4 linked regions of the Rhinolophus ferrumequinum genome follow. The protein of the gene in region 1 interacts with the protein of each later gene in a biochemical or structural test. Links are inferred from orthologs where the notes say so. Each region holds a gene or a part of one and is shown in the gene's direction. Other genes may lie near its edges.

Region 1 (7,282 bases):
CACACTTCCCCACCTGTCCAGTGGCACCGGCAGGACCATGAACAATGGTGAGAATTGGCTCAGAGGAAGCTGAGTTGAGGATACATTTAGTTTAGGATTAGCGGCATCTAGTTATTTACCCACCACACTTCCAAGTTATTGCCACCAGTCCTAACGTAGGAAGGGCTTCTGGGAATACTCTGCCCATCCATTCAGCTGACTCTCTTGGCCTCTGGACATGAAGGGATAGGGTCAGAGATTTTATATGAACTCTAAGTAAATGGGAAGTGGGTAATAGAGGAGAAGCTAACCTGTGGGCAATGCTGTCAATTATAACATGCATAAAATTATATCATTACCGCATCTAAACTGAATTTCTCCTGTGTCAGGAATACGCTTGTTACCACAGCATGGACAATTATAAATATATCAGACAATTTTTGAAATCTGGAATATTTAGAATGATGCACATTAGAATTTTGCATAATTCCTGTGTTTGTAAGGCACAAGTTTATGAGTAGAGTAGTAGCATAGACACATACAAGTATGTGAAAGAAACTTGATGTTTTCTCACATTTGACAGAAATGCTAAAAATATATGTGACATAATCAATAACGATGTGAGAGCCACAAAAACTTTTTTGAAATGATCAATCATAAAAAGCCAGTTTGGATTAACCATGCTAAAGGAAAGACTGCATTATCTTTTCTCTCTTAATAGAAAATATTACAAAATTGTGCCATATAAAGAGAAAAAGATAAATAGCTCATCAGTTCGGTGAACAAATAAGCATTTAAAATATGGATTCCAAAAATTGTAAACCCCCTCAAATGTAGAACAAAGGCAATATAAAGATCTGTCAGGCAATTAATAAAATACTTTTTAATGGATTTTGTGACTTGATGGTATTTTTTAACTTTTAATATTTTGTAATTTTTTATTCTCAAATATATTTTCCATCACACTTAACTTAGCATTTTTTTTTTTTTTTAATTTAAAAAGGGCCCCTACATGATATACACTTCAGGCCTCACGGAACCTGTATCTGCCTTTGGCCATCTGTGGCCACGTGGCTGTCCCATGATACATCACAATCCACAGGCCAGAGTGGCATTTTACCCCCACGACTGCTCCTTAGCCTCTCTGCAGATGGCAGTGGCATCAACGCATGGTCAAGCCCGCACCCACGCCATCCCTGATGAGTCTTTCGCCCTTATTCATCACACCCGATCGACTCCTTAGGTCTTACAGTCCTAGCTTCTCAAAATAGCTCATCGTTACTTCTTCCTCTTCAAACTGACCCACACTCCTCTAGTTGAGCCCCTGTTGGGACTGTCGCAGAGCCCTCCACTGGTCTTCTGGCTCTGATGCTACCTCACTGTCCCTCCTCGCATCTTCTCTTCAGTGACTTTTCTCTCCAACTCCCATATCTGACTATGTCACTCCCCTACTCCCATTTTTCCCCTTTAATTTCATCATCCTGTCCAAATCCTTTAGCACAACCTGGGAAGGCCTTGTGAGATATGGGTATCTAGCTCCCTAGCACTTTCTTAGTTTGAGATGCAACAGCAAAACTAGCATGGATTTCTTTTTTCTTCCTCACTATTTCATGGGTGGAAGACTTGTTCTTACTGTAGAGCTTAGCAACCTCAGCATACAACTTTTTTCTTTCCTCATAAAGTCAAGAACTTTCACCTTTTCACTTAAAGGAAGTGCTTTATGGCTTCTCTTTGGCATTTTGAATTGCCAGCATCACTGCTCTTGCACTTTGAGGCCATTATTAAGTGAAATTAGAGTTACTTGAACACAAGCACTGTGATTCCATGACAGCGGATCTGATAACCAAGATGGGTATTAACTAAGTGACTAATGGGTACGGGATGCGTCTACAGAGTGGATATGCTGGACAAAGGTAGGATTCACATAGGAATTGTTTCTTTCTGGAATTTTGCATTTAATATTTTCAGACCATGGTAAACAGTAGGTAACTGAAATTGTGGAAAGTGAAACTGCTAGTAAGGGGGGATTATTGTAGTCACAAGTAACTGTTTCTCGAATTTATTTTATCTGAAAAAATACTCGTGCTAGTCTGCTTGGGCTGCCATAACAAAATACCTCAAACTGGGTGGCATAAACAACAGAAATTAATTTCCTCACAGTTCTGGAGGCCGGAAGTCTGAGATCAGGGTGCTGGCAGTGTCAGGTTCTGGTGAGAACTCTCTTTCTTGCTTGTAGATGGACCCTTCTTGCTATGTCCTCCCATGGAGGAGACAGAGTAAGGGAGAGATCTTATAAAAGGACTAATCCCACAGTGAGGGCTTCAACCTCATGATATCATTTAAATCTAATCACCTCCCAAAGGCTCCGTCTCTAAATATCATCATATTACAGGGTGGGGCTTTGGTGTATGAATTGGGGGTTGGGGCATAATTCAGTCCACAGCAATACTTATATCTAAAAACAAAGCAAAACAAAAGCCTCATGTGCAGTACCAACTAACCTTTTCTTTTCCTTCTAAATGGAGTTTACCAAAATATAAGTATGAAATTTTGTGGGGCATATGACTTTCCATCCTCTCTTCTTCAGTTCTTTTTTTCATATTACCTCCAGAATAGTTCTAACATACAGTTCCAAGACTGTACCTCTCCTCAGCAACTTTTTATAACAGTATTCAGGGCTCTTCAAGATTCTGACTCTAAACTCCTGTGCTTTAGAATGCCCACCCCACATTTATTTTCTCCAGTGTTCGTTCAAATGTCACTTCCTCTGCTTGAATTAGTAATTTCCTTCTCTATGTTCTCACATTATCTTATAGCATAAATTACAACATAAGTGCCAGAAAACAATTCTAAGTAATCATTGTATTCTCCCACGTCCACACTTAGAGCAGGAATTGTATCTGATTCATTTTTGTGTCTATTTAAGCGCAGCATTGCACTGTAGAGACATTGAATACAAGTGAGACTTATGTGTAATAAACTGTAAAATGAATTTACAATAGCATGAATTTACAATAATCCCTGAAACTTCAAAAACAAAGATAATCAAGTTAAATTAAAAAAAAAATCAAGCATCACACCTGTGGAAACTTCTGGTATTCTTTATGTTGAACATAAAGTGGATATAATGAATTACTACCTGTTTTTAGATGGTCTCAATTAAATTCCATGCTTAGGCCTCCCAGAGAGAAAGATATATATTCATTCATTAAAATCAGTACCCTAAACTAGCAGAGAACAGTCTTCTTTCCTAGAGTACTTTACTGGGGGTAGCCAGTTTTCATTTAAAATGTGAATTTGGCATTTTAAAGTTTATTAGGTTCAGGTAGAGATTTTTTCAGACCCCTACCTCCACTCTAAATTCTCTGCCTCTGTCACCTAGGAGCATAAAGTTGTCAAGGCTGAGCATTTGTGCCACATACAGGGCCAGATGATACATGTTACTTATGTAAAAAGGTATTAAACACCTCCACGTATGTGATAAAAGAAGTTCCATTGCTTCTCCTATTCTGGGTCATCTAATATACTTGTAGAGGTCATGGTAATCATTCTTTGTTCTGCATCCCTTTAAGGTCAGTGCAAAGAGAAATTCTTGCTAGGGGAACCTTATTATCACATTCTGTTTTACTCTTCTATTGTCTTGAAGATTTAAGAATGATGTTCAAGTGCAGAAATCTCTCTTAAGAATATGGTGGAGGGCAATGAAAGAGAATGTTTGATACTGGGTTACTTAAAGACCTCTTTTTTTTCCCTTATAGAATTGTGACTTTGTTTATTTGTTTTAAATAACATTTAAAATACCGATGTGAAAATATTTTGAAATTAAAAAAATACAATTTTGTTTTTAGTTTTTAAATAAGTAAAATTTTAAATAAATAAAAAAATTTAAAATAAAAAAGTGAGGTAAAAACAATTATATATATATAAAAGATATATATATATATATAAAAGAAACATGTTTCTTTACATTGTTGAGGACGTCTTTCAGTTTTCCATTTTCTTGAAATGTGCTCCTTCGGCCTAGCCCAAAAGTCATCTATTTAGAAAAACATAACTATACACTAGTTTGAACAAAGTAATGGAATCTGGATCTAAGTATAGTATCACTTTTGTGATGAGCTAGTTGTGCACAATAAATTTTTATTGTGCTGATATAGGAAGGGGGGGGAACCAACCGAGACCGATCAGTAGGTTCCTGATGACTAGAAACAGTAGGACGACGCTCTCCAGGGATGAAGGACGGCGCTTGCGCGCAGATTCATTTGGCGCCCGCCCTCCTGCTTTTTCTCCAGCCGCCGTTTTCTTCTGCTTTCGCGCTTCAGCCACCGGAGAACTCCGCCCAAGCGTGACTGGGCTCTGATTGGCTCCTTTGAAAGTCTACGGGCCACCTCATTGGCGAACCCGGGACCCTTTAGAGCGGTGAGTTTGAAACTGCTCGCATTTGGCTTCAAAGCTGGCTCGGAGCAGTGAAGGAAAGGGAGAAGCTGACGCGGTAGCCACCGCTGCCCCTTTTACCACGGGGTAACGTGCCGGGGAGTGTTGCTGGGTCAGGGTCATGCCTGTGGGGTCCACAGGGGTCGGCTCGGGGGCTTCAGAGGGGTAGTATTGAGTAACTGGGTGGGAATTTGGAAGTTGGGCTGGGCAGCGTGGGGCCAGGCTGGGCCTCCGGCGGCTGGGCCCGGCCTTCACCTGCGGGCTCGGGCCTGGGCGTGTGAGTGACGCCGGGTCCCAGCTTTAGAGGGAGGTTTAGGGGAGCCCAGAGCTGGTGGGGTTAAGCCGGGGAGGGCTGCGGCTGCCCTGGTTTCGGAGTTGCGGTCTGGGGTCGCGGTCGGCTTTTCTCTGGAAGAGGCCGCCCACCTGGCTAGGGAGGCTTTAGGGTCGCGGTTGAAGCCAAATCCGGGCATTGGCTCCGCGACACCGAGCGCTGGCGAAGTGCCAGGCTCGGTCCTAGGTCCCTTGTGCGCTCTGCCCTCGCTTCTGGGAGTGGGAAGCAACCACACTTGGGCCAGGTCTCCAGGCCAGTCCATTGGTATTTTACATCCTGCAGCTAGTAGTACTGAGAGCCTTCGGAGGTATTCAAAAGGCCTAACGCTGCATCCTTGATTCAAAAATGGTTATGGCAGGAAAATGGAGGGAGGCTACTCGAACCCAGCTGTGAAATTGACTTAGTTTTTAGCTAAATGAGCTCAACAATTTTATTGTGCATTAGGCATATTAAATCAGGATACTGAAGGAAAGATAATTATCTTAATCATCCATTGCCATTTCGTAAAATTAAAAATTTTTAAGGTTGACACTCATGGCCAGTGTAGTGCAGTTTTGTTCATTTAAAAAGATTTATCTCTATTTCTGTGGAATGATTCTGAAGATGAAAGTGAGAAATAGAACTTAAGGGCCAATTACTCAGAGTATTCAGATGACCTTTATATATGATGTTATCAGTGACGGGTGTGTTAGAAAATCAAGGTAATTATGCTTTGGGTTTCTTCTAGTTATGTTTCATAGGCAAATTTACCAGCCAAGGAAGTCTGGAGTGTCTGGTTATCTGCATTTCAGCTTTTTTTTTTTGACCATTATTTGTGATTTAAAAAAATATATATATATATATATGTGTATATATATGCATATATATATGCATATATACACATATATACATATATATTTTATATGTATATAAACTTGTTCTTGAGATTGTATAGGGCATAATTAGAACTTAGTCTGTGGAATTGCACCTTTTCTTTTAGGGTGCTAAATGATATTTCCTACTCTTTCAAAAAATACCTTGAAAGTGTTGATCATGTTTGTGTATGTGACTGCTAAAAACAGAAAACTCACTTGAGCAAGCTTAAACACTTATGCTTTTAACAATCTAATGAATGTGCAGTGTGACCACATTTTAGCTCCCTAGTCATGTCTTTAAATTATCTTCACAAAATCATAAACCAGTAAATATTCAGTCAAATAGCATTTGTTGAAGTATCTGGGTGTAATTGGCACATACTGGTGCTCCTTAGAAGTATTCCATAAGAAAACAGACTTCTGGTTGTTTGGGAAGGACAGATAAGTTGATGTCTGAATTTAAGGGGTTATTTGATTGAAAGAAGCTAAACACTGATATATGATACAAATATTTCCAGTGTTTTAGGGGTTAAGAAATGTGGGGAAGTCTTATTGCTGGAGTACTTTCCCTTGTAAATATTGTTTTAATGCAATAACTAATATTTATGAAAAGTTAATACTGTACCTAAGCACTGTGGAAAGTACCTTACATATAGTATTTCATTAATAACTTAAACCCCTCTTTTGAATTAGTGGCATATAATCAAATAATTTTTTCATCTCATTTTAGCATCTACCATACCTATTGATTAACTATGGAAGACTATACCAAAATAGAGAAAATTGGAGAAGGTGAGTGCTTTTCAGTAATAAAAAAATGTTTAATGACTTAATGATGCTATAACATCTGTGACATGAAGAAATGTAAATATTTATTAAAATCCAAACTTTAAAGCATCTTACACTACTGTGCATTAATATATATGTCCTTTACATAAATAACTTAAACACAAGAAATAACAAAAATGTTCACATTTCAAGAGAATTGAAATTATTCTAATATGACTCTGACAGCCCCTCTCCCCCATAATCCTGCATTCTTCTAATACTAAGTACTTAAAAAGCAATATTTGTATTTTGAGAAGACTAGCGATATCTTGTGTGTGTGTTGGGGCGAGAAGTAAGGACAGTAGAATTATGTTAAGTTTCGTAATACACTTTTAGTCTCCTACAATTGTTTTTAATATGATAAAATCTTTTTACCTGAATCTTCCGAATTGGTTTCAATAATTGACTATTACACTAATTTAAATAAGTTTCTATTGTGTTCCCCTAGGTTTAAATGATGTGTGTACATGTTTAAGCTATTCTTTAGGTTGGTGCAAAAGTAATTGCAGTTTAAAAGAAAAATAATTGCAAAAACCAAAATTACTTTTGCACGAACCTAATAAAACCAATAATCTAATCATTTGTTCTTTCTGTTGTAATTTCATTAAAGTTTTTAAAGAATATATCCATATGTTATAAATGAGGGATAAAAATATCCCTCTGCCTGTTTTTCCTCCACCAACAGCATATCTTACGTTTTATAGGTGTCTTGATATTATTAACATTCTAAGCTCTCCAGGAACAAATGACATAACTTATAATTTACAATTTGCTACTAGAGTCTAATTTATGTAGGTTCTGTTTGAGGAACATTTCCAACTATAGCTTTAGTGTGCTCCAAAGCCTTACTTGTATA
Region 2 (7,159 bases), on another chromosome or scaffold:
TGTACCCCTGCTGTGTTTTCTCCCCACACACGAGGGCCCACAGCCAGGGATCATGCTTGTCTGAGGGCATGTGCACGTGCACACACACACATACAACCCTACCCATGGTACCCATAGACCCACCTTTGCACAAGGCTCCGGCTGGGTCCTCTCAGCCCAATGCCCTGGCAGAGCACCCCACATACCCACCTCCTGCCCTGTCCAGCAGAGAGCCGTGACCCGGAGTCCTGGAGGCTGGACCTGCCATTGGCTGCTGGGAGTGGCTCAGGGGTGGCCCCTGACTCCAACCACCCATGAGAGCTTGGAATACCTAGGACAGTCCAGGCAGGCTCCTTGGAGAGGGCTTTTCTGCCAGGCCACCTGCTTCTCCCCAGGGCAGGAGGTACTGGCTCCCTGGTATCCTCATGGAGGGCAGCTGAGTGGCCTCATGGTTAGCAGGCTGGGTGCTGGATTCGGATTCAGACTGGCTTCAAGTACTCAGTCTACCTGGCTGGGGAGCTTGAGCAGGAATCTGCCCTCCCTGAGTCTGTTTTCTCTTTAAAATTACGACACTAATGGTACCACCGTGTTAGGGCTATTGGGGGAGCTACTTTGGACCCTATTTTATAGATGGGGAAACAGAGGCAGAGAGGAGAAGGGACTTAGCTCCGATTGTATACCCCCTAAGCAGCAGGGCTGGGATTTGAAGCCTGGCAGTGTACAGCGCCCCCTGAGTCCACCGTCCTCTGCCCTCTGATACTCCACACACTTCTGGGCAGCAACAAGACCAGTTGCCCCAGACACTGCATTGCTCTTTGCCTGCCTCATGCCAGTCTGGGCCCAAGGTATCTGTTTCAGACCTGGGATAGCTGAGGGCCCCCCACACAGACCCAGACACACAGACAGTCAGCTCACCCTGCAGGGTGCCAGGGAAACTTGGCACAAGAGGAGGCAGGCGGGAAGACCAGGAGGGGCCATGCAGGAGGTACAGGCCGGGTGCCTGCTTGGCCACTGCTAGAGGGAATGCTGGTGCCCGCCACCAGTGCCAGGCTGCCTGGGTGCTGGCATGGGCCTGTGGGAAATGCCAGTCAGCCAGCCAGGGGCCTTGGGCCAGCTTGATGCCACTCAGGACCAGGGCTGGGCCCAGTTGGGTACCCACAGCCCTTGCATTGCTGACACCCCCACTTCCAGCACAGCCGATCCCGTCAGCTCAGCCCCAGCTCTACCCAGGCAAGGAGGGCCTAAGAGCGCATCAACCACTTGGGGGCTAAAAGAACCCCTGATGGAGCCTGGACCTGAGTTACCCTTTACCCCCAGGCATGAGGGCACATGGCCCAGGCTCTGGCTACAGGAGCAACTTTGACGGGTAGAGCTAGAAGCCCAGGACAAGGTGACAGCTGGGGTGTTAAAAGTTCAAGATGGAGGCCCAGGAAGTACATCGCCTAAAATGGCACAGCCTGTGTCAGTAGACTCCCAGCCAGCTGCTCATGGTAGCAGCACCTGCCAGGGTGGGAATTTGGGGATGACAGCTGGAGGGGTGGCCAGGCGCCTGCAGGGCAGACACCTTCTGAACCCGCAGCTATACTAAAGGCTCCTTAGGTCGCCCCTTCAGCAATCTATCTGGCAGCTCTTCAGCCCCAATCGCGGGATTAGCATCTCTGAGACACTTTCCCAGGCATCCCTAAGCACTTGCACTGTGCAAAGCTGACCTTTGTTAACTTCTTCTCCTCACCCACTTGTTAGTTTATTAAAACCTTATGCCAGTGTGAAATATGGCATACATTCCGAAGCGTGCATAAAACAGAAATGTACAATATAATAAATATCTATTAAAGCAAACACCTATGCAGCTGGCTCCAAGGTCAAAAAATAGAACAAGGCCAGATTCCCCAGAAGTACCCATCACGATCTCCTCTTTCCTGCTATGTAGCCAGGTTTGCGTAAGTGGCCGTCATTTCCTTACCTTTCTTATCTCACGGTATCCTGTTTTGTGGCCCCATCCCTGAAGGGACATCCCGGTGTGTGTGTGGCGGGGGAGGGGGGGGGGTAGTCCGGGCGGGGTCGCGGTGCTGTTGCCGCGACGGGACACATGGGGGCGTGCGCGGCCCAAACCGGCTCTTACCTGGGTGTGCGACCGGACCCCGGGAATCCCGCGCCTGGGCCGGGATTGGGGGTTTCTTCCTGGACTGATCCCCAGCCAAGCGCTTTGGTCTCGAATCCCTGTGACCCCGGGTGCAAAAGTCCCGGCCCCTCTCCTCCAGGTTCCTCCTTTTGAACCAGGAAGCTGCTTTGAAAACTGCAAAATACTATACAAATGAGGGAGTGTTACTGTTATTATTAAAGAGAGTAAGCTCCTTCTGTGTGCTAGGTTCTGTGCTAAGCATTTCACATGCATTTTCTCATTTAATGCTCATACCCCAAGAAGGTAAGAACTATTATTATCCCCATTTTACAAATGTGGAAACAGGCCCAGAGACATAAAGCAACTTGCCCATGATTGCACAGCTTTTGTGTGGCATAGGAGCCCTAATTGCCCTGACTCTATGACCCATGCTCTTACCTGCTATCTGTACTTAGCTTTACATTATATCCCTTCCACACAGTGAAATGTCCATTGGAAGCATGTTTTGAATTAAAAAGAAATATATATATATATATATATATATATATATATATATATATATATATATATATATATATGTATGTATAATTTTTTTTTAAGTCATTGTGAATAACTTCCAAGAATGAGCAGTTGGAAAGGGGCCTGAGTCCCAAAGTCCTGGAGATGGGGCTGGCAGAGGGGATGGTAGCTGGGGAGGGGCCTGCCTTCTTCTCAGGCCTCCTGGGGACAAGTCTGGGGTCCTTAACAGGGGTTCAGTCTGAGTCACAGGGGCTGTGGCTGCCAGAGGTGCTAGTGCAAAGGACCGGTGCATGGAGGGGGTGGGGGCTGCAGGCCCCAGAGAAGTTCTGGGCCTGATGTGGGACGGGCTGGTCCATTAACTGGAGAGTGTTCGCTGAAGGGCAGGAGCGCAGTGGGCTGGGAACCCTGCAGTCCCTGACTTTGCAGACTTGGTGGAGGGGTGGTCAAAGGGTGAACCAAGAGGATAGAATTTCAGACAGAGATAAGTGCAATCCGCAAAGGAAAGGATATATGATGAGATGTGGAGGGTTCTAGGGAGGATGGCCTGGAAGCGTGACTCCCCCCTGCCTTGTTCAACGGATAAAAGATGCTGTCCGTGAAGGAGCAACGCCTGCAGCACTAAGGTTAGGAATCAGCGCCTGCTCTGTGCTGCTCCCCTGCTGAGAACTTTAAGGGGATCATTCCATATGAACCTCCAGCTCCGTGAGGTAACTTTCACCAGCTCAGTTTTCACGGGAGAGGAGACTAATCTGAATCTCAGGCCCTAGTACATTCCAAGGTCATTCCGCCAGGAAGCAGTTGAGGTAGCTGTGAGCTGAACTCAAGGCTCAAATCCAAACGATGGTAAGGGCTGCCTCGGAGGTGGCTGAGCCCTGGAAGTAGGGAGGGATCCGGCCTGGATGTCTAGGGGGCTTCCTGAGAGGGGCAGAATGTTCTGGTTCCTGAAGCAGAAGCCGCGCGTTCCGCGGGTCGGGGAAATGTCTATCTGGCCTGCCCATGACATCCCCGGTGTGGTGCACTGCAGGTGTGAGGGGGGAGCCTGCGAGCCCAGGGGACTCCGCCCCGTCAGGATCCCAGAGGCCGCAGGGACTTCCAGTCCTACCCTGAGGTGATCGCCTCCTGAGGCGACACCTCTGGGGCAAAATGCGGTGACCACTCCTTTTACAGACGCGAATACTGTCAGCCCAGCGAGAGACGTGGGTTTTGGGACAGCGAACTAGGGGTCGGTCGACATTCCGAGAACCGGGCGGAAGGGGCACAAAGCTGGCTCAGGCCGGGCGCAGCGCCTCAGCCTCCAGGCCCTGCGGTGCGGCCACTCCCGCCCCCGGGCCGGCGCCAAGGACACTTTGCGCCTGCGCAATGAGAGCGCAAGGGCTGAGGCGCTTGGGGGGCGTGGTCGGCGACCCGCACGCAGGGACGTAGGGGGCGGAGCCCCAGGAGGCTGGGCGCCTCTGATGGGCTGCATCGGGAAGGGGGCAGGGCAAGAGGAGTTCTTGGGCGGGGCCTCGATTCCGGTTTGGAATTTTTGGCGCGAGTCAGTTCCGCGCGCGTTCACGGGCAGTTCCCCCTCCAGAGAGTCCTCTTGCCCCGTCGTAGAGAGCTGTCGACGGCAGACCTCAGCCCTCCTGACCGCCCCCGAGGTCTCCCGCGACCTCTGCCGACCCAGAATCTGGGACCTCGCGGAGCTGCTCCCCGCCCTCTCGCCCCAGGTGAGCCCAGGCCCGGCCCTGAGGGTTCTCGAGCCGGACCGCCCTCCCCTCCTCTCCTCCTCCCTCTCGTCAGCCTCACCCCGCTCCAGCCTCCTTCCTCATCCCCCTCCTACAGCCCCCCTTCCCTGTCGAATTGGGTTCTGCCCTACCCATCTGCTAACCCCTCTCTGGGCCAGTCCAGCCCCGGGCGGCCCCTCCCACTCCCCTCTAGCCTCTCTGGCGAGTCCCCTTGCTGCCCTCTCTCCTTCCCCAGCCTCCCTGTCCCCTTTCATTTGGTAACCCCTTCCCCTAGCGACTGCCCTCCCTTATTTGGCCCTCCCCAGGAAAAGCCCCACTCACGTTCCCCCTACAGCCCCTCCCCCGTGACAGTCGGTCTACTCTGTTCGCCAGGGTTTCCCCACGCCCACGGAGGTGAATCAGCTGTGGGCCTGCCCGCGAGGAGCTCACAGTCTAGCGTGGTAGACCGTGGTCAGCAGATGTGTCCAGCCCAGTGAGAGGGTGAGGCCTGTGGAAGCTGCAGAGGTCACCTGGCCCGTCCTCTGCTCAGGGCCACCCTGGATTCTCCCGGGAGCTCCTGCTCCTTCTACCTTCCCTGTCCCACCCCCAAAGCTGTTTGGCCAGGCCAGTGGTGCTAGAATGTAAATGAAAGTGGGATGGTCTGACAACTGGTTTAAGATGCAGATCTTAAAAGATTTAAGTGTCTCAGAATGTGCCAGGACTGCGCCTGGAGGCTGTACATACTTCTAACCAGCTTCTAACCAGCGTCCTGGGGATCCTGACATTCCAGTTCTTTACTTTGAGAAACCCGTAGGATTCCTGAGGTAAAAGGGGCAGAGGAAAGGTCCACACATTATGTAGGGTGAGCCTTCCAGGATGGCACTGTTGGGGGTCCCTCCCTCAGCCCTCACTCGCCCAGGGACAGGAGGGCACACTTCAGATGACTGCCCCCTTTTCAGTTACTGACTCACCCCTTGTTGGGTATGGCATCTTTTGATACACTGCCTTTCTCTCAAAAATTAAACTCCTCTCCCTTTTGTTTTCTTGTTTTTGTTTCAATTACAATGTAATTGTGTAATAACACAGCAGCCGGGTGCAGATACACAATCTTTGTGTATCTCTGCTCCAATACACAGTCACTTACACCCATGGGACCATTGCAACTTTGTGTGTTCTCTCAATGACTACTCAGAGCATTATTTATTATATATTATTTATTATATAATGAATAATTATATAGCATTTATTGAGGACTCTGCATGCCAGACACTGGGCTGAGCCTTCCCTGACTTCAGCATTACAGGTCCACAAACTCTTGAGGCCAGGAGTGTTTCAGAATTCAAAATATGTCAGATTTTAGAAAGCTAATAGGGTGCATATAACATTTATATGTAACACCACCCATGAGTCTGGGACATCATCCAACAATTAAACACATTAATATTTCTGTCAAGAAATCTATGAATATTCACACTGAGAGGAAAAAAGTAGGTCAGACCAGATTTTTCTGCTAAATGATTTTTGCATATAGATATCTAGCTGTCCCAGCACCATTTGTTGAGAAGATTATTCTCTCCCACAATTGTTTTGGCACCCTTGTCAAAGTCAATTGATTAGAAATGTGAGGGTTTATTTCTGAATTCTGTTTTAGTGCATTGATATATATATCTATCCTTGTGTGAGTACCACACTGTTTTGATTATTGTAGCTTTGAAGTAAGTTTTGAAGTTGGGAAGTGCAAGTCCTCCAACTTCATTTTGATTGTTTTGTTTTGACTATTCTGGGGCCTATGAATGTCTATATGAATTTTAGGATCAGCTTGTCAATTTCTGCAAACAATCCAGCTGGGATTCTGATAAGGATTGTACTGAATCCGTAGATCAATTTGGAAAGTATTGCCATTTCATTCATATTAAGTCTTTGGATCTATGAACATGTAATGTCTTTCTGTTTATTTAGGTTGTTGTTTATTTCTTAAGCTGAGGGGGAAAAGGAAAGAGCGTACATATCCATAATATTTGTTATGTTGACCTTATTCACCACTTTTCGTTCTCTTCATTTATTCCTGTGGGTTTGAGTTACCATCTGGTGTCATTTTCTAGTCCAATATAGTTTTGTTCCCACCCACCTCCTTTGTGCTGTTATTTGCAAGTATATTACATTTCTCTGTTATATGCTCAACAATACAATTACATACATATTCTTTTTAAATCAGTTAAGAGAAGAAGGGAGAAGAAATATGTATTTATTCTGTCTTATATTACATACTTATCCTAATCGGTGATCTTTGTTTTTTTATGTAGGTTAGAATTACTATTTGGGATCAGTGCTTTCAGCCTGAAGAATTTCCTTTACTTTTTCTTGTAAAGCAGGTCTGTTGGCAATGAATTCTTTATTTTGTTTATCTGTGAATGTCTTTATTTTGCCTTTATTTTTGAAAGATAGTTTTGTTAGATACAGGATTCTTGGTTTACAAATCTCCCTCCTCCCCGCCAGCACTTGGAATGTCATCCTGTTGCCTTCTGGCCTCCATTGTTTCTGATGAGAATTCAGCAGTTAATCTTATGGAGAGGCTTGTAAGTGATGAGTCATTTTTCTTTTGCTGCTCTCAAGATTTTCTCCTTGTTTTGGTTCACTCAGCACTTTTAATATGATGTGTCTGTGTGTGGATCTCTGCATTTATCCTACTTGAATTCATTGCACTTCTTGGCTCTGTTAATGTTCTTCTAAATCATATTTGGGAAGTTTTTATCCATTATTTCTTAGCATATATTTCCTGCTCCTTCTCTCTTTCTGGGACACTCATTATGCCTATATTGGTACACTACATTTC
Region 3 (7,567 bases), on another chromosome or scaffold:
AACCTAGGCTTGTTTTCTTGTTCAGAGAGCTAGAATTAAAGGTTTAGAACATTATCTGCTGAGACTTAACCTGTCGGACTATTTCTCTCTCTCTCTCTCTCTGTCTCTTACTCTTTTTAATCTCATTTATCCTAGAGTAGGCAGGGCAGGTAAAAGAAAGGTTAGTCTGTTTTGTACTTAGCTGTAGTTGAAAACTTACTGAGAGGGAATGTTGCAATGATGGTGTAAAAAGAGAGTTTTGACTCACCTATGTATTTTAATTTGTAAAATGTTCCCAGTTACCAGATTGCTAAGTGGGAAATTGATGAAAGCTACAAAGTGGCTTCAAAATCAGGAAGAATGATTTAACTTGTAAAAGACAACCAACTGAAGGCTGAGAATCAATCTGGAGACCTATTTAGGATGTTGGGTAACTATGGAATTATGCTTCCCCTTCTACTTAACAAATGTTTACTGGGTGTCAACTATATGCTAGCCCCTGAGGATATAAAGTGAAAAGGCATCATCTGGGCCCTCAGATTGCTTTGTGTAGTTGGAGAATCAGATATTTAGATACCTCTAGTGGAGGTGTGTAAACCAAACACGGTAGACAGAGTATTCAATACCTGCGGGAGGTAGGAAAGACTTCATAGAACTCGTTCTTTTTCCTTTTATTAATTTTATTGGGGAACATTGGGGAACAGTGTGTTTCTCCAGGGTCCATTAGTTCTAAGTTGTTGTCCTTCAATCTAGTTGTGGTGGGCACAGCTCAGCTCCAAGTCCAGTTGCCGGTTTCAATCTTTAGTTGCACAGAGCGCCTCCCACCATCCCATGCTGGATTTGAAACCTCAACCTTGTTGTTAAGAGCACAGCACTCTAACCAACTGAACTAACCGGCCGCCCCCTACATTGCTTTTTAAAACACTGTGTTTTTAAAACACAGTCATTAGGAATTAAGTGATTTAAGAAGCCTTGAAATAAGTTGATTCATTTTTGGTTTTTGTGTTAAGTCTAAAAAAAATTTGTTCAGGTTTTACAGATAATTGGACAAGATGGATCATGCCCATTTGCTTTCAGGGACCATCAATAAGCAACCATCCCTCACTAGCCAGGTTCTGAATTTTGTCTTGTCCTGGAGAAACAGTATTGGGAAAAGGATGATGGCTCCGGAATTGCTGAGTCTATATCTAAGCCTTTTCTCAGTATCTGGGATAAAATCCAACCCTAGTTCTCATTTTAGGCATAGCTTAGAACCATGGAAAAAACACAAAGTTTGGGATTAAACAGAGCAGTCATGAATTTAACGGAAGTATCTGAGCTTCAGTTTTCTCATCTGTAAAAGGAGATGGCAGTTTCTTCAATTGGTTGAAAGGATTAAGTTGGACAATGTGTGTGAAATGTTCAGAGGACTGCTCTACAATGTTAGCCCCCCCAGTTTAGGTGTGGTCTTAGGCTGAATGCACTGAACAGCTGTTACAATCTTGACAGCTTGGTTTACAAAGATGACTAATGCAGTTTTTTCCCTTGGGAAGTTTCTTCCCTTCTGGAAATTTCTTCTCTCCAGTTTCTTCCCACAGTGTTTCTTAAAACTGGTTTAGGGACTAATCACTTGAAAGAGCTACTACAAAATGCATACTGTCAAGCCCCACCGGAGAGAATGGGATTTATTCCATCTGAGATGGGGTCTAGGGATCGACCTTTTTTTTTTTTTTTTTTATAATCAAATAGGTATCTTTATTTTGCTATGGAGAAATGAGTAATTTAAGCATACAAAAGTTTTGATAATCATACAGTAATATTGATTTAGAATTAATGTATGGTGCTGCTATCATATTTTGAATCTATGTTATATTTTCTGATGACACCTCATCTGACTTTTTTTTTTTTTTATTAAATTTATTTTTAATTTATTGGGGTGACAATTGTTAGTGGAATCGACCTTTTTAAAAAGCAGCCCACAGCCTTCTGATGGGGATTGTCTGACATAGTGTGAGACGCTTTGATCTAGGGAGAGACGCTGCTAACTATAATGTACTGTGATGTTTTCTAATAAAGGTGTACAAGGCGAGGGTGCCATTTGAACTATCCTGGAAGTATGGCAGCATTTTTTCAGGAGCTAGAAGGTAACATGATAAAAGCATTTTTAAGGGCCGGCCCGGTGGCTCAGGCAGTTAGAGCTCCGTGCTCCTAACTCCGAAGGCTGCCGGTTCGATTCCCACATGGGCCACTGGGCTCTCAACCACAAGGCTGCTGGTTCTACTCCTCGAGTCCCACAAGGGACGGTGGGCTCTGCCCCCTGCAACTAAGATTGAACAGGACACCTTGAGCTGAGCTGCCGTTGAGCTCCCGGATGGCTCAGTTGGTTGGAGTGTGTCCTCTCAACCACAAGGTTGCCGGTTCGACTCCCGCAAGGGATGGTGGGCTGTACCCCCTGCAACTAGCAACGGCAACGGGACCTGGAGCTGAGCTGCGCCCTCCACAACTAAGATTGAAAGGACAACAACTTGACTTGGAAAAAAGGCCTGGAAGTACACACTGTTCCCCAATAAAGTCTTGTTCCCCCCCAATAAAATCTTTAAAAAAAATAAATAAATAAAAAAATAAAAGCATTTTTAAAAAACAATAAAGAAAAAGAAAAAAAACAAAAAAACAATAAAGGCTCAGACCCCTTCGGGGAAGCGGACTTCCTTGAGTTAGGAAGAAAAAGCCAGAGGAGGGAAAGATGGGAGAGCGAAGGAGGCAGAAATTTTTTTTTATTAAGCCATTTTTCTAAATGGTTATACAAGGCATTGCTTTATTCTCTACAAAGAATTTATACAAGACTTTTTGTGGTACTATTCTGGGTTGGAATCTGGAACTACAACTTATTAGCTTTGTGACCTTGGGCAAGTTACTTCCCAGCCTTAATTTCTTCAGTTATAAAACATATAATCTCTAAAACTTACTAGTATCTTCCATATGAGCATGACATAAAGAATGCAAAACACCTAACTGACCTAGGCACCTAACACATTCAACAATCACGTCACCTGTCTTCAGGCCCTGCCCAAGACTGCAGAGGTCTGTTTTAGGGGAATCCAGACTTTAAAACATGACAACCTATCACAAGCGCTGAAATTGTAGCTATTTAAGTGATAACATATATAACATACAAGTGCTAAAGAGAATGACCTCATCATTCTTGACCACAAACCACCCAGGCTGCCTCCACCAAAACTAGAAAAGGAAGGCAGGATGGGAGAGCAGAAATTCAGGTACCTGGGGAAATAGCTCCTTTAAAACCTTTGTAGTTGTAAAAAAAACAACCACAACAAAAAAACTGTTCTACTACCTTGTTTTATGATTAGACGGCATTTACAATTGCAAGTGGCGGGGGAGTAAGTGGCTTACAGGACCTTGACTCTGGGTTCTCCAGTGCACTTTAGCCTCAAGAGTTCTTGAAAAGTTAATCTGCCATAAATTAAGTGGTCAGCACCTTTGGGGAAATTTAATAAAATGGCGTTTGCTGTAATCTCACAAAGGCCTTGCAAATTGGTCAGCTCAGTGTTGACTGAAGGCGTGAGCAACGTCGCCAGATCTCATTGCGCTGGCACCCTCAGGGTTTACACCCACGTTCAGAGGCATCCGACTGCCTGTCCGCCCAGCCTGGGTAGAGTGAGACTTGAGAAATACTTTTTTTTTAAGGGACGTTAAAAGAAGACGTAAAAGAGCCCTGGTGGCGAGGCAGAACTGCACACTGAGTTTCTTGGCCCTGACACTTGTTGAGCTAGAGGGCTCCGCTAAAGCATAGCACCCAGTCACTGTAAAGACGTCCCCTGAGGAGGGCCAATATGGCGACGGACTCCTCTTGGCACAGCCCTGTTCCCTCCCCCATGAGAGGCGGCTCTAGTAACGCCCATCAGCCAAGATGGAGGCGGTGTCTGGCTTCCTTCGCCGCCTCATTGGACTGAGTGACTGAGTGAGACGCCAATTCTCCTCTGACTACTCCGAGTTCCCACCCTTAGAGTTCATTCGGTGTTTAATTGGCTTTTAGTTCCCGTCAATTTGCGTCTTATCTTGTCTCTTTTCAGCGTTAATCCAATCACAACTTTCCTGGCTGCCCGCCTGATTTCTGATTGGTTTTGATCAACTTCATCCTCTCCCATTCCTGCCTACTTCTTATCGCTCCTCCCACTGGGACTTTGCTCAGGCACGTCCAGGGTTCTGGTTGGTCGTTGTTTTGTCACTCCAACCAAAGCTCTTCCTATCTCTACCTCTCAAGGAGCCCGCCTGGCAGTTGACTGGTTCCTTTCCAAGCCTATCATTTCTAGCTCCCGCCCACATTCACTTCCTGCGTCTTTCATTGGTTTTGAAAATTGAGAGGGCGGCCTTTTAGGGCGGACACCGGGCACGCAACTTTGTCTTACACGCCTTAGAGAGTAAGCGAGTCTTACCATTGGGTAACCTGCCCGCCTTTCTTCTGCAAGTCCCTCCTTCCTCCCTCCCTCATTGGGCGGGGCAGCAGTGAAGGGGAGGGGCCTAGGCCGGGCTTGTGGCGCGCTGCTCCCTCCTCCTTACCCCCCCCTCCCTGTCCGGTACGGGTTCGTTTGCCTCGTCAGCGTCCGCGTTTTTCCCGGCCCCCCCCAACCCCCCCGGACAGGACCCCCTTGAGCTCGTCCCTCAGCTGCCACCATGAGCGGTAAGGATGAGTCCACTCCAAGCTTAGGGGTGGTAGGGGAATGAGGGGGCGCGCGCGAGGGCCGACCAGGCGGTCCCCGCCATGAGGGGGGGCGGGCGGGAGGCGGCGGCGGCGGCCTTGGTCCCGCCCGGGGCGGAGGGAAGGGAGGGAGAAGGGGCAGTGGCGGGGCCTCCGAGGAGGAGGGGGATGGGCCGCCCGCCCCGGGGGAGGGGGCAGAGTGGCCTCGCCCGCCCCCTGCCCGCCCCGGCCACGGGGGGGACGGGCCTTACCCCCCACTACTCGGCCGCCTGCCTAAGGCTCCTCCTGCCGGGGGCTGGAGCCGCGGGGGCGGCCCGAGCAGTGCAGGCCCCGCCCGGGCCAACCGCCTCCCTGGTCCGCCCTCTGGTCGCCGCCTGCCCCAGGGCCCTCCCCACCTTCCGTAGATTTCCCCTCCCCCCCACTGTCCCGCCCTTTCCACGCCCCTCACCCCGAAACCGCCCTTTCCCTCTAGGGTCCGCCCTCAGTCCGCCAGGAAACCTGATTTCTGTGTCCTGGACCCGTTTAGCCCCTTACCACCAGTATTCACAAATGTTTCCCCACTCACACTTCTCAACTTTTTTTCCCTTTGCCCTCCTCTCTTGTTACTTTTTACACTTGAATTTTTCTCTTTCTCCATCTCTTTTGACCCTAATTTTAGCAAGCTTTCCATCCACCCACATGTTGTTTTTTGTTTTATCCTTATTTTTTTCCCCCAGGATACTTTTTCTTGTTTTGAAACTCTTTCAACATGCCCACTGTCCTTCACACTTCCTATGCCAAAAGCACCTTTTCAATATTTTCTGAGTTTAACTTAGTGCAAAGGAGAGTTGAGGCCCAGTTTTGGCACCAATAAGCCTAGCTCATGTGCTACACATTCTACAACTGTTCCTTCTCCCCCAATCCTTTTTTTTTTTTTTTACGCTGGCATGTTTCACCTTCCTGTTAGTCATGCCTGTTTCATCATAGCCTCTTCTATTCTTCCTCACTTTACCCTTTTCCTTCCCTCAACTTTAAGTTGTCTATCCTTTCATTCTTTTTAGACCAAGATCACTCCATGGATGAAATGACAGCCGTGGTGAAGATTGAAAAAGGAGTTGGTGGCAATAATGGGGGCAATGGTAATGGTGGTGGTGCCTTTTCCCAGGCTCGAAGCAGCAGCACAGGCAGTAGCAGCAGCAGTGGAGGAGGAGGACAGGTAAGTGCTGATCAGGACAGAGCGGCCAAGGTGTTGAGAGGATGTACCCATCTTTAGGTGATTATCTCCACAGAAAAGAATTTAGGAAGGGGTTCACCCTTTTAGAGATAGGGAAGTAAGTACAGAGAGACAAGTGATTGGGAGAGCCCCAAAAATGTCAATTTCAGCGTTTTGTTCATTTTCTCTTTATTTGTTTGCACTGTGTTGCTGTTTGTTTATAGTATACTGCCCCCCCCCCTCCCCCCGCAGCTGGGTGTCACTGAACTGATTCCTTTCCTCTGTCTTATTTTTTGGCCAGGAATCCCAGCCATCCCCTTTGGCTCTGCTGGCAGCAACTTGCAGCAGAATTGAATCACCCAATGAAAACAGCAACAACTCGCAGGGCCCAGGCCAGTCAGGGGGCACCAGTGAGCTTGACCTCACGGCCACACAACTCTCACAGGGTGCCAATGGCTGGCAGATCATCTCTTCCTCCTCTGGGGCTACCCCTACCTCAAAGGAACAGAGTGGCAGCAGTACCAATGGCAGCAATGGCAGTGAGTCTTCCAAGAATCGCACGGTCTCTGGTGGGCAGTATGTTGTGGCTGCCACCTCCAACTTACAGAACCAGCAAGTCTTGACAGGACTACCTGGAGTGATGCCTAACATTCAGTATCAAGTAATCCCACAGTTCCAGACCGTTGATGGGCAACAGCTGCAATTCGCTGCCACTGGGGCCCAAGTGCAGCAGGATGGTTCTGGTCAAATACAGATCATACCAGGTGCAAACCAACAGATCATCACAAATCGAGGAAGTGGAGGCAACATCATTGCTGCTATGCCAAATCTACTCCAACAGGCTGTCCCCCTGCAAGGCCTGGCTAATAATGTACTCTCAGGACAAACTCAGTATGTGACCAATGTACCAGTGGCCCTGAATGGGAATATCACTTTGCTACCTGTTAATAGCGTTTCTGCAGCTACCTTGACTCCTAGCTCTCAGGCAGTCACTATCAGCAGCTCTGGGTCCCAGGAGAGTGGCTCCCAGCCCGTCACCTCAGGGACTGCCATCAGTTCTGCCACTTTGGTATCATCACAAGCCAGTTCCAGCTCCTTTTTCACCAATGCCAATAGCTATTCAACAACTACTACCACCAGCAACATGGGAATTATGAACTTTACCACCAGCGGATCAGCAGGGACCAACTCTCAAGGCCAGACACCCCAGAGAGTCAGTGGGCTACAGGGGTCTGATACTCTAAACATCCAGCAGAACCAGACATCCGGAGGCTCAATGCAAGCAAGTCAGCAAAAAGAGGGAGAGCAAAACCAGCAGTCACAGCAACAACAAATTCTTATCCAGCCTCAGCTAGTTCAAGGAGGACAGACCCTCCAGGCTCTTCAAGCAGCACCATTGTCAGGGCAGACCTTTACGACTCAAGCTATCTCCCAGGAAACCCTCCAGAACCTACAGCTGCAGGCTGTTCCAAACTCTGGCCCCATCATCATCCGGACACCAACAGTGGGGCCCAATGGACAGGTCAGTTGGCAGACTCTTCAGCTGCAAAACCTCCAAGTTCAGAACCCACAGGCCCAGACAATCACGCTGGCCCCAATGCAGGGTGTTTCCCTGGGGCAGACCAGCAGCAGCAATACCACCCTTACACCCATTGCCTCAGCTGCCTCTATCCCTGCCGGCACCGTCACTGTGAATGCTG
Region 4 (6,646 bases), on another chromosome or scaffold:
AGGAATTAGCAAACTGGAGGCCTACCAATGGAGAATGTAAAGCTATAGAAACCCCAGTTTTCGGGCAGGGTCTCTCCGCCCTTTGTTCCTGTGATAGGATTCACTACGGGCTGCGCTGCCGCCTTTGGGCAGTTGGCAGTGACGGGAAGTCCTGGAAGTACCGCCGAGCTCGTCACGCTGTGTTTGGTCCAATAAATGGACATACTAGATCACTGCGAGGGTTCTGCCGGCCGCCCACAGAAACCCCACGTTGCCAGCAAAACGCTGGGTGTTCATTCCTAATATGTTGGCAGCGATCGATGTCAGGAAGGATTGACATCCTTGCCCACCCTCCCGTCCCCCTTTTGTCCCCCCTCTCCCCAGGCACCGGCTGAGAGCCGTCACCCCAAAACCGGTGTCTTTGGGGTTAAATGGCACGAACTGGGTTCTCATTTCTCATGCTGGGTCCCTCCCTAAGCCTGAGGCCAAGCATTTTGTAAGTTACCGCTCTCTGTAAGTTACAGACCCGGGAGCCAGAGTACTAACTCGGGCCGGTAACTAACTGTCCCGAGCCCGAGGGCCTAACTGCATGTGCAAAGAAGGATCTCTGGCTTGTGCGCCCGGCTCCCAGACGGCTCTCGGCCACCTCCCCCCGCCCTCCGCCTGCCAGCTCCCCCCCGCACCCCCGACGTTGTCTACGTGTTCCGGCGGCAGGGCGCTCCTACAGCTTCGGGGGTTAGTTCTTCAAACCGCCATTTCATTACGCAAAGTCCCGTCTTAGGGCCACCCAAGAAATCTAAGACCTGTAGGCATTTTAAAAATCCTTAATTTGGCAGGGCAGCTACCTCGGGTTACGTTAGAGTGATCTTTGTGAATTCACTTAGAAACATCAATTTTGTAATGCCACCAAAAGTGCATTTGGTTCCCCCCCACACACACCCCATGTCCATCACCTAATAGAGTGGCAAAATCTCAGGTGATTCAAATCTACATCGGCTGTTTTGCCTCACTGAAAGCTGTACTCATTCGCGCTGCACTGTCAGGGGCAGTTAGTTACGACTCTGCCTAAACTCCATCACGACCTTTTACAGAAGAAATTGGCCAAACCTTGTTTGAACGAGGTCTTTCGGTGAATGTGAAGCATGCTGCAGTCTGAGAGGACCGGCGCAGCGCAGAGGCTGGAATTAGAAACCACTCCAAGGCCTTCGTTCAGTGCCTCAGTTCCCTTTCAAGTTCACGAAACTTTTTGTCAACAATTCAATCACGACACGTTTTATTTGTAAAAGTGCAAGGAACTTTCAGGACATTTTCTTAAGGATTTTTGATGCATCCTGTGGGGTTTTCAGTCAGTAAGACCGCAATAGAGGTGGGGAAAAGCTTCCTGAAATTATTGAACAAAGAACTAATCCGTGTGGGGTGGAGGGGTGGGAGGGGCATAGGGTATCGTCGAATAGCGGCGGGCGAGTCCCTATAAATACTGGGATGGCTGATTGTTTCTCATTAGTGTTGGAGAATTGGCTTTGCTTACCCATGGCTCGCACGAAGCAGACGGCGCGCAAGTCCACGGGCGGGAAGGCCCCGCGGAAGCAGCTGGCCACCAAGGCGGCCCGCAAGAGCGCGCCGGCCACCGGCGGCGTCAAGAAGCCGCACCGCTACCGGCCGGGCACGGTGGCGCTGCGCGAGATCCGGCGCTACCAGAAGTCCACGGAGCTGCTGATCCGCAAACTGCCCTTCCAGCGGCTGGTCCGCGAGATCGCGCAGGACTTCAAGACGGACCTGCGCTTCCAGAGCTCGGCCGTGATGGCGCTGCAGGAGGCGTGCGAGGCGTACCTGGTGGGGCTGTTCGAGGACACCAACCTGTGCGCCATCCACGCCAAGCGCGTCACCATCATGCCCAAGGACATCCAGCTCGCGCGCCGCATCCGCGGGGAGCGGGCGTAAGTCTCCTTCCTCAGTTAGCATCCCCTGCCCCCAAAGGCTCTTTTCAGAGCCCCTCAATTGTCAGCGAAAAAGAGCTGTTAATTCTGAAAAGTACACGGCATCCTTATATGAAGTGTGGTGTGTCCTTGGTGACTAAGTCACACCACTGCTGCCCACTTGTGCTCCACATCGGCCGTCTGCTTCTCCTGTGACCCTAACAACCGTCCCGCTTGCCGAGTCCCTCATACTCTGCAGTGAGGAGCTGTTTATGGAGAGGCATTACAATGACTCGGTCATTTGAAAATCCAAACAACTTCGACTGCAAGAAGTGATTGAAGGAAAACTGGCCCAAACCTTACAGAAGACTTAACTGGGTTATGCAAATGGGAATCAGTTAAATAGGTAGAATATTCCAGCGCCATTACTTCAGAAATAGGCCTCTTGATTTCTTGTAACACAAGTGTTGCCATGAGTGTTTAAAATCTTGACGGCTTTTTTGTTTTCCAATTTTAGTATACGTGCTGCAGAAGCGAGTGCACCTTTTCTGTTCCGATGTAATGTTTGCAAGTGTATGCTGTGGGCTTTCCATGTGTGACTGGGGAATGGGTGACGATGACCTGTAAGCTGTCATGTAAAATGAGTTCCCAATAGTTCTGAGACAATCTAGAAATACTTGTGCAAGTGTTTTTAAAATATATTTGTCTGTGATTGTTTTGTTTTGTTTTTTTCTATGGAGAATCAGACTAGGGATGAAATCCAGCATGCCGTTTTAAATCTTCCTTGTTTCCACACAATTCTGAGTTTTCTAACCAAACATGGCTGCGTCCCATATTTCCACTTGTTTAGTTTACTCTCGTGCTCTTCGTATTACATGACTGTCAGTGCCTCATTTTGCTGCTTACCTTTTTTGGGTATACACCCTAACTTTAGGAGGTAGCAGTTCTATGAGGGCAGTTTTTCTCCTGATCTCTGGCAGATCAGCCACCTGGGCCTTCCCTTCCTTCCCGTGTCTGGATTTGCCCTTCCAGAGAGAGGCTTATATCTAAACCATTGGCTCCTTGGAAAGCTTTTTGAAAAGTCTCAGAATTGATTCAGAAAAGTCTGATGAGGCCAAAAGCCTCTGATTACAAATCAGTCTGGAGCTCCTGTAGTGGCTCTCAGGTGTAGGGACAACTTGGTGCTGCTTATTCCAAGTTTCAAAGGTTGTTCTCTCCCCATCCCTTTGAGGACCTTCCCATCATACAGACCCAGGACCAGGAGGTCTACCTTCAAACATCTGCCGACAGTGAGCTCTATAACCTTTGGCAAGTCACGCATCTTGTCTCTAGGCCTTAGCTGACAGAGCTGTAAAGTGTGATGAATGAATGGAAATCTGTACAGCTTCCTGAGATTAGTTCCTGGCACTTTGTAAATGCTCAGTGTATATTACCTCTTATTGTTACACTTCCCTCTCCTGCACCTTTAAGCATGGAGGGATTCCCCCCGAATCTTCTAAATGTTTTGTGATTAAAACAATGAGAATTGATTGGTTAGAACACTTTCTTGTTAAAACCTTTTCTTTAGTTCTTGATTTGCATTGTTCTGAAAGAGGCAAGCTTGTGGCGATATGCCACGATCTGTGTCTATGTGGATGCATTCAAAACACAGCATAGGTGCCAGGTAGTAAATATTGTAGGTTTTGCCGGCCACGTATGATCTCTGTCACGGTCTTTTTCTAACACAATTTAAAAATCTAAAAACCACCTTTGAGTAAGGACCATACAAAAATAGGCCTCTGTCCAGTTTGGTCATAGTTGACTATAGTTTCAATTCCAGGAACTCCTAGAGAGAAGTGTGTTGGCTGCTTCACCAGTGTTTCACAGGGAAGAACTAAGTACCGTCAACTGCATTAGAGATCAAAATCATGATTTGATCTCCCTTAGCATCTAGGCCAGACACAAAATCCGATCAACCCCTTGCCCTACTTTCGTTCCAAATAAATAGCAAACTTCATCTTCCATTCCAACCTCAAGATCATTGCCTCAGTTCCCTTGAATGTTAATGTTTTCCTGTATTTTCCTGAATTCAGGAAATTCCCAGTGCACCGTTTTTATAGTAGCCAATTATTTTTCTAAAATATAGGTCTATTATCACTTAATAATTGATGTCTCCTGTCTGCTCAGCGAAGAGGGTGTTCCTGACTGTAATTTGTTAAATACTGACAGGGATTGAGGAGTTTGAAGGAAGACATTGGGAAAAGCAGGAAAACCTGACAAAGTCCCATGGGAGCTAAATAGATTGTGCTTTTGTGAGCTACTGGAAGCCCTTGAAAAATTTTTAACAGGTTTCAGAGGTTTTCTGACACATTATCTGGGCTAAGCATTTTTCATCCTTGTTTTAATAGATTTGCCTAGGAACTAAAGAGAGAACACATCTCAATCAAAACCATACAAATTAAAGTTTGAATTTGAATCCAGGTCGTTGGAAACTGAAGACAAAGCAATTGTTATTTCTCCTGCTGCAAGGTAGAAGTCACTCTGGCAACTGAACATTTCCAAGATGGAAACTACAGACACTGGCACTGAAACACCTAAGAAGCAGAACCGGTTTTTAAAGTCATGTCTGTGTGGCTGGTGTGGGGCTGTAGGCAAGCAGGCGCTCTGTGCGTGTGTTACTTGCTACAGTTAGAAACAAAGTTTATGCCCAAAAGAAGGAGCCTAGGGTCTTTCCTCCTGCAAAAATCAAAGACCAAACTTAGAGAGAAAGCCTTTTAACACACGTTGACTTGATACTTAGTAGACATTTGGTGCAAGATGCAACTAAGTAGCAGGATGCCCAAAGCCCGTGGATTCCTATGGAAAGCTGAAGGGATTTTTAAAAAATATCTTTCATCAGTTGCGCGTGATTCATGAAAACACAGACAAGTATGTGAACCTGGAAGCTGTTTTCCACCTTTGGAGCTTCAAAGCGTCAGATTCTGTACCGTTGATTTCGGAATTTAATCAGATGTTTGGGAGTAAGAAACACAATTTGGGAGTCCAACCGCGAAAGGCGGCCGCCTGAGGGCGGCGGATCCGACGCCCCACCAATCACAGCGCAGCCCCGGCTTATATAAGCCGTAGCCCGAGCCTGGCAGTACTGCGAACTCGCTCTTTGGATTTTGGGTCTCTTTCTCTGGTAGCTCCTCCCATCGCCATGTCGGAAACCGCTCCTGCTGAGACGGCCGCCCCGGCGCCTGTAGAGAAGGCGCCAACAAAGAAGAAGGCGACCAAGAAGGCAGCGGGCGGGGCCGCCAAGCGTAAGGCTTCGGGCCCCCCGGTGTCCGAGCTCATCACCAAGGCGGTGGCCGCCTCCAAGGAGCGCAGCGGCGTGTCGCTGGCCGCGCTCAAGAAGGCGCTGGCTGCCGCCGGCTACGACGTGGACAAGAACAACAGCCGCATCAAGCTGGGTCTCAAGACCCTGGTGAGCAAGGGCACCCTGGTGCAGACTAAGGGCACCGGCGCTTCGGGCTCCTTCAAGCTCAACAAGAAGGCGGCCTCCGGCGAGACGAAGCCGAAACCCAAGAGGGCTGGCGCCGCCAAACCCAGGAAGCCCGCAGGGTCCACTCCCAAAAAGCCCAAGAAGGCCGCGGGGACAAAGAAAGCCGTGAAGAAGACCCCCAAGAAAGTAAAGAAGCCTGCTACCGCCGGTGTCAAAAAGGTGGCCAAGAGCCCCAAGAAGGCCAAGGCTGCTGCGAAGCCTAAGAAGGCCGCCAAGAGCCCAGCCAAGCCCAAGGCGGTTAAGCCTAAAGCGGCCAAACCCAAAGCCGCCAAGCCCAAATCGGCAAAGCCCAAGGCCACCAAGGCCAAGAAGGCAGCTCCGAAAAAGAAGTAGGAAGCTGGTCTTTAAAAAGGCGACAAAACCCAAAGGCTCTTTTCAGAGCCACCCAGAGATCTCTGGAAACAGCTGTGCACTACAGACACCTACAGCAGACCTGGGGGTGTTGACTTGACCATTCACCAAGCAACCCACTACGATTGTAGTTGTTTCGCTTTTAGGTATCCTTGGTACTTAGACTGAAAGTGACAAGTAACCCAGTGTGACCACAGGGCTAAAGCCATAGATGGGTTATTGCCAGCCCCTTCTGTAAAAACTATCCGAAGATCTCATCTGTACTAATATTTTTTTAACTTTGAACACGTGCTTATTTACAAAGGAACATTTAAAAACCCCGCGCTACATTCTGATTTGTCAGTTTTCAGTTGATGGGTAGGAAGTTTAATGTGATATATTTTTGCGCCACCAAATTTAACTTAATGTTTTTTCACGTTTGCCACAAGGTCGTCAATGCACTTGATTGACCTCACTGAACTGATTGAGGAGTGGCTCCCGGATACTGAATCTGTCTGAAATAGCTACTTCCTGAAACCGCTTGCCAAGCTAAATTTCCAGTGCACACTGCTGATAGATAAATTAGGAAACTGGAGTCCCAGCTCTTCACTACAAACATACGGGCCTCTGAAGTCTCCATCTCCTCCCTATCTCGTTCTCTGTGGAGCACTCTCTACGGGGCGGCTAAGCGCTTCACTTTTAACGCTGGGCGTCGGCTGCACTAACCGTCTTAAATTACTTGTGACAAAGTATCTCAGTATCCATTTTAATTGGCCATATTAAGTGTTTAACTTGTAGTTTCAAAATGGATAGTTTCACCTCTATCGGATGTTTAACTACTGACACCTACCGACCAACTCTGCAGTAAGTCACTTTCAAACAACGGCCACGAGCGCTT

Evidence for each region.
Region 2: of the proteins of CDK1 (region 1) and PKMYT1, one has a biochemical effect on the other in vitro, tested with the Homo sapiens proteins (2 studies listed by BioGRID and IntAct). The link is inferred for Rhinolophus ferrumequinum from reciprocal best matches to the Homo sapiens genes CDK1 and PKMYT1.
Region 3: of the proteins of CDK1 (region 1) and SP1, one has a biochemical effect on the other in vitro, tested with the Homo sapiens proteins (2 studies listed by BioGRID). The link is inferred for Rhinolophus ferrumequinum from reciprocal best matches to the Homo sapiens genes CDK1 and SP1.
Region 4: of the proteins of CDK1 (region 1) and H1-5, one has a biochemical effect on the other in vitro, tested with the Homo sapiens proteins (7 studies listed by BioGRID). The link is inferred for Rhinolophus ferrumequinum from reciprocal best matches to the Homo sapiens genes CDK1 and H1-5.

The regions. Positions count from the first base shown.
Region 1 is NC_046299.1:41,137,563-41,144,844, forward strand, and holds the start of CDK1 (cyclin-dependent kinase 1), read left to right. Parts: upstream 1-4,264; 5' UTR 4,265-4,398; intron 4,399-4,400; exon of another isoform or gene 4,401-4,500; intron 4,501-6,328; 5' UTR 6,329-6,353; coding exon 6,354-6,390; intron 6,391-7,282. UniProt on the Homo sapiens protein: Plays a key role in the control of the eukaryotic cell cycle by modulating the centrosome cycle as well as mitotic onset; promotes G2-M transition via association with multiple interphase cyclins.
Region 2 is NW_022680357.1:4,484,016-4,491,174, reverse strand, and holds the start of PKMYT1 (membrane-associated tyrosine- and threonine-specific cdc2-inhibitory kinase), read left to right. Parts: upstream 1-4,144; 5' UTR 4,145-4,329; intron 4,330-4,719; exon of another isoform or gene 4,720-4,827; intron 4,828-6,680; exon of another isoform or gene 6,681-6,698; intron 6,699-7,159. UniProt on the Homo sapiens protein: Acts as a negative regulator of entry into mitosis (G2 to M transition) by phosphorylation of the CDK1 kinase specifically when CDK1 is complexed to cyclins. Mediates phosphorylation of CDK1 predominantly on 'Thr-14'. Also involved in Golgi fragmentation.
Region 3 is NC_046293.1:53,250,940-53,258,506, forward strand, and holds the start of SP1 (transcription factor Sp1), read left to right. Parts: upstream 1-4,552; 5' UTR 4,553-4,650; coding exon 4,651-4,657; intron 4,658-5,715; coding exon 5,716-5,870; intron 5,871-6,168; coding exon 6,169-7,567. UniProt on the Homo sapiens protein: Transcription factor that can activate or repress transcription in response to physiological and pathological stimuli.
Region 4 is NC_046305.1:1,998,773-2,005,418, forward strand, and holds H1-5 (histone H1.5), read left to right. Parts: upstream 1-4,769; 5' UTR 4,770-5,073; coding exon 5,074-5,751; 3' UTR 5,752-6,131; downstream 6,132-6,646. Other genes in the region: uncharacterized protein LOC117014580, read left to right, coding at 98-157, 364-492, 1,419-1,920. UniProt on the Homo sapiens protein: Histone H1 protein binds to linker DNA between nucleosomes forming the macromolecular structure known as the chromatin fiber. Histones H1 are necessary for the condensation of nucleosome chains into higher-order structured fibers.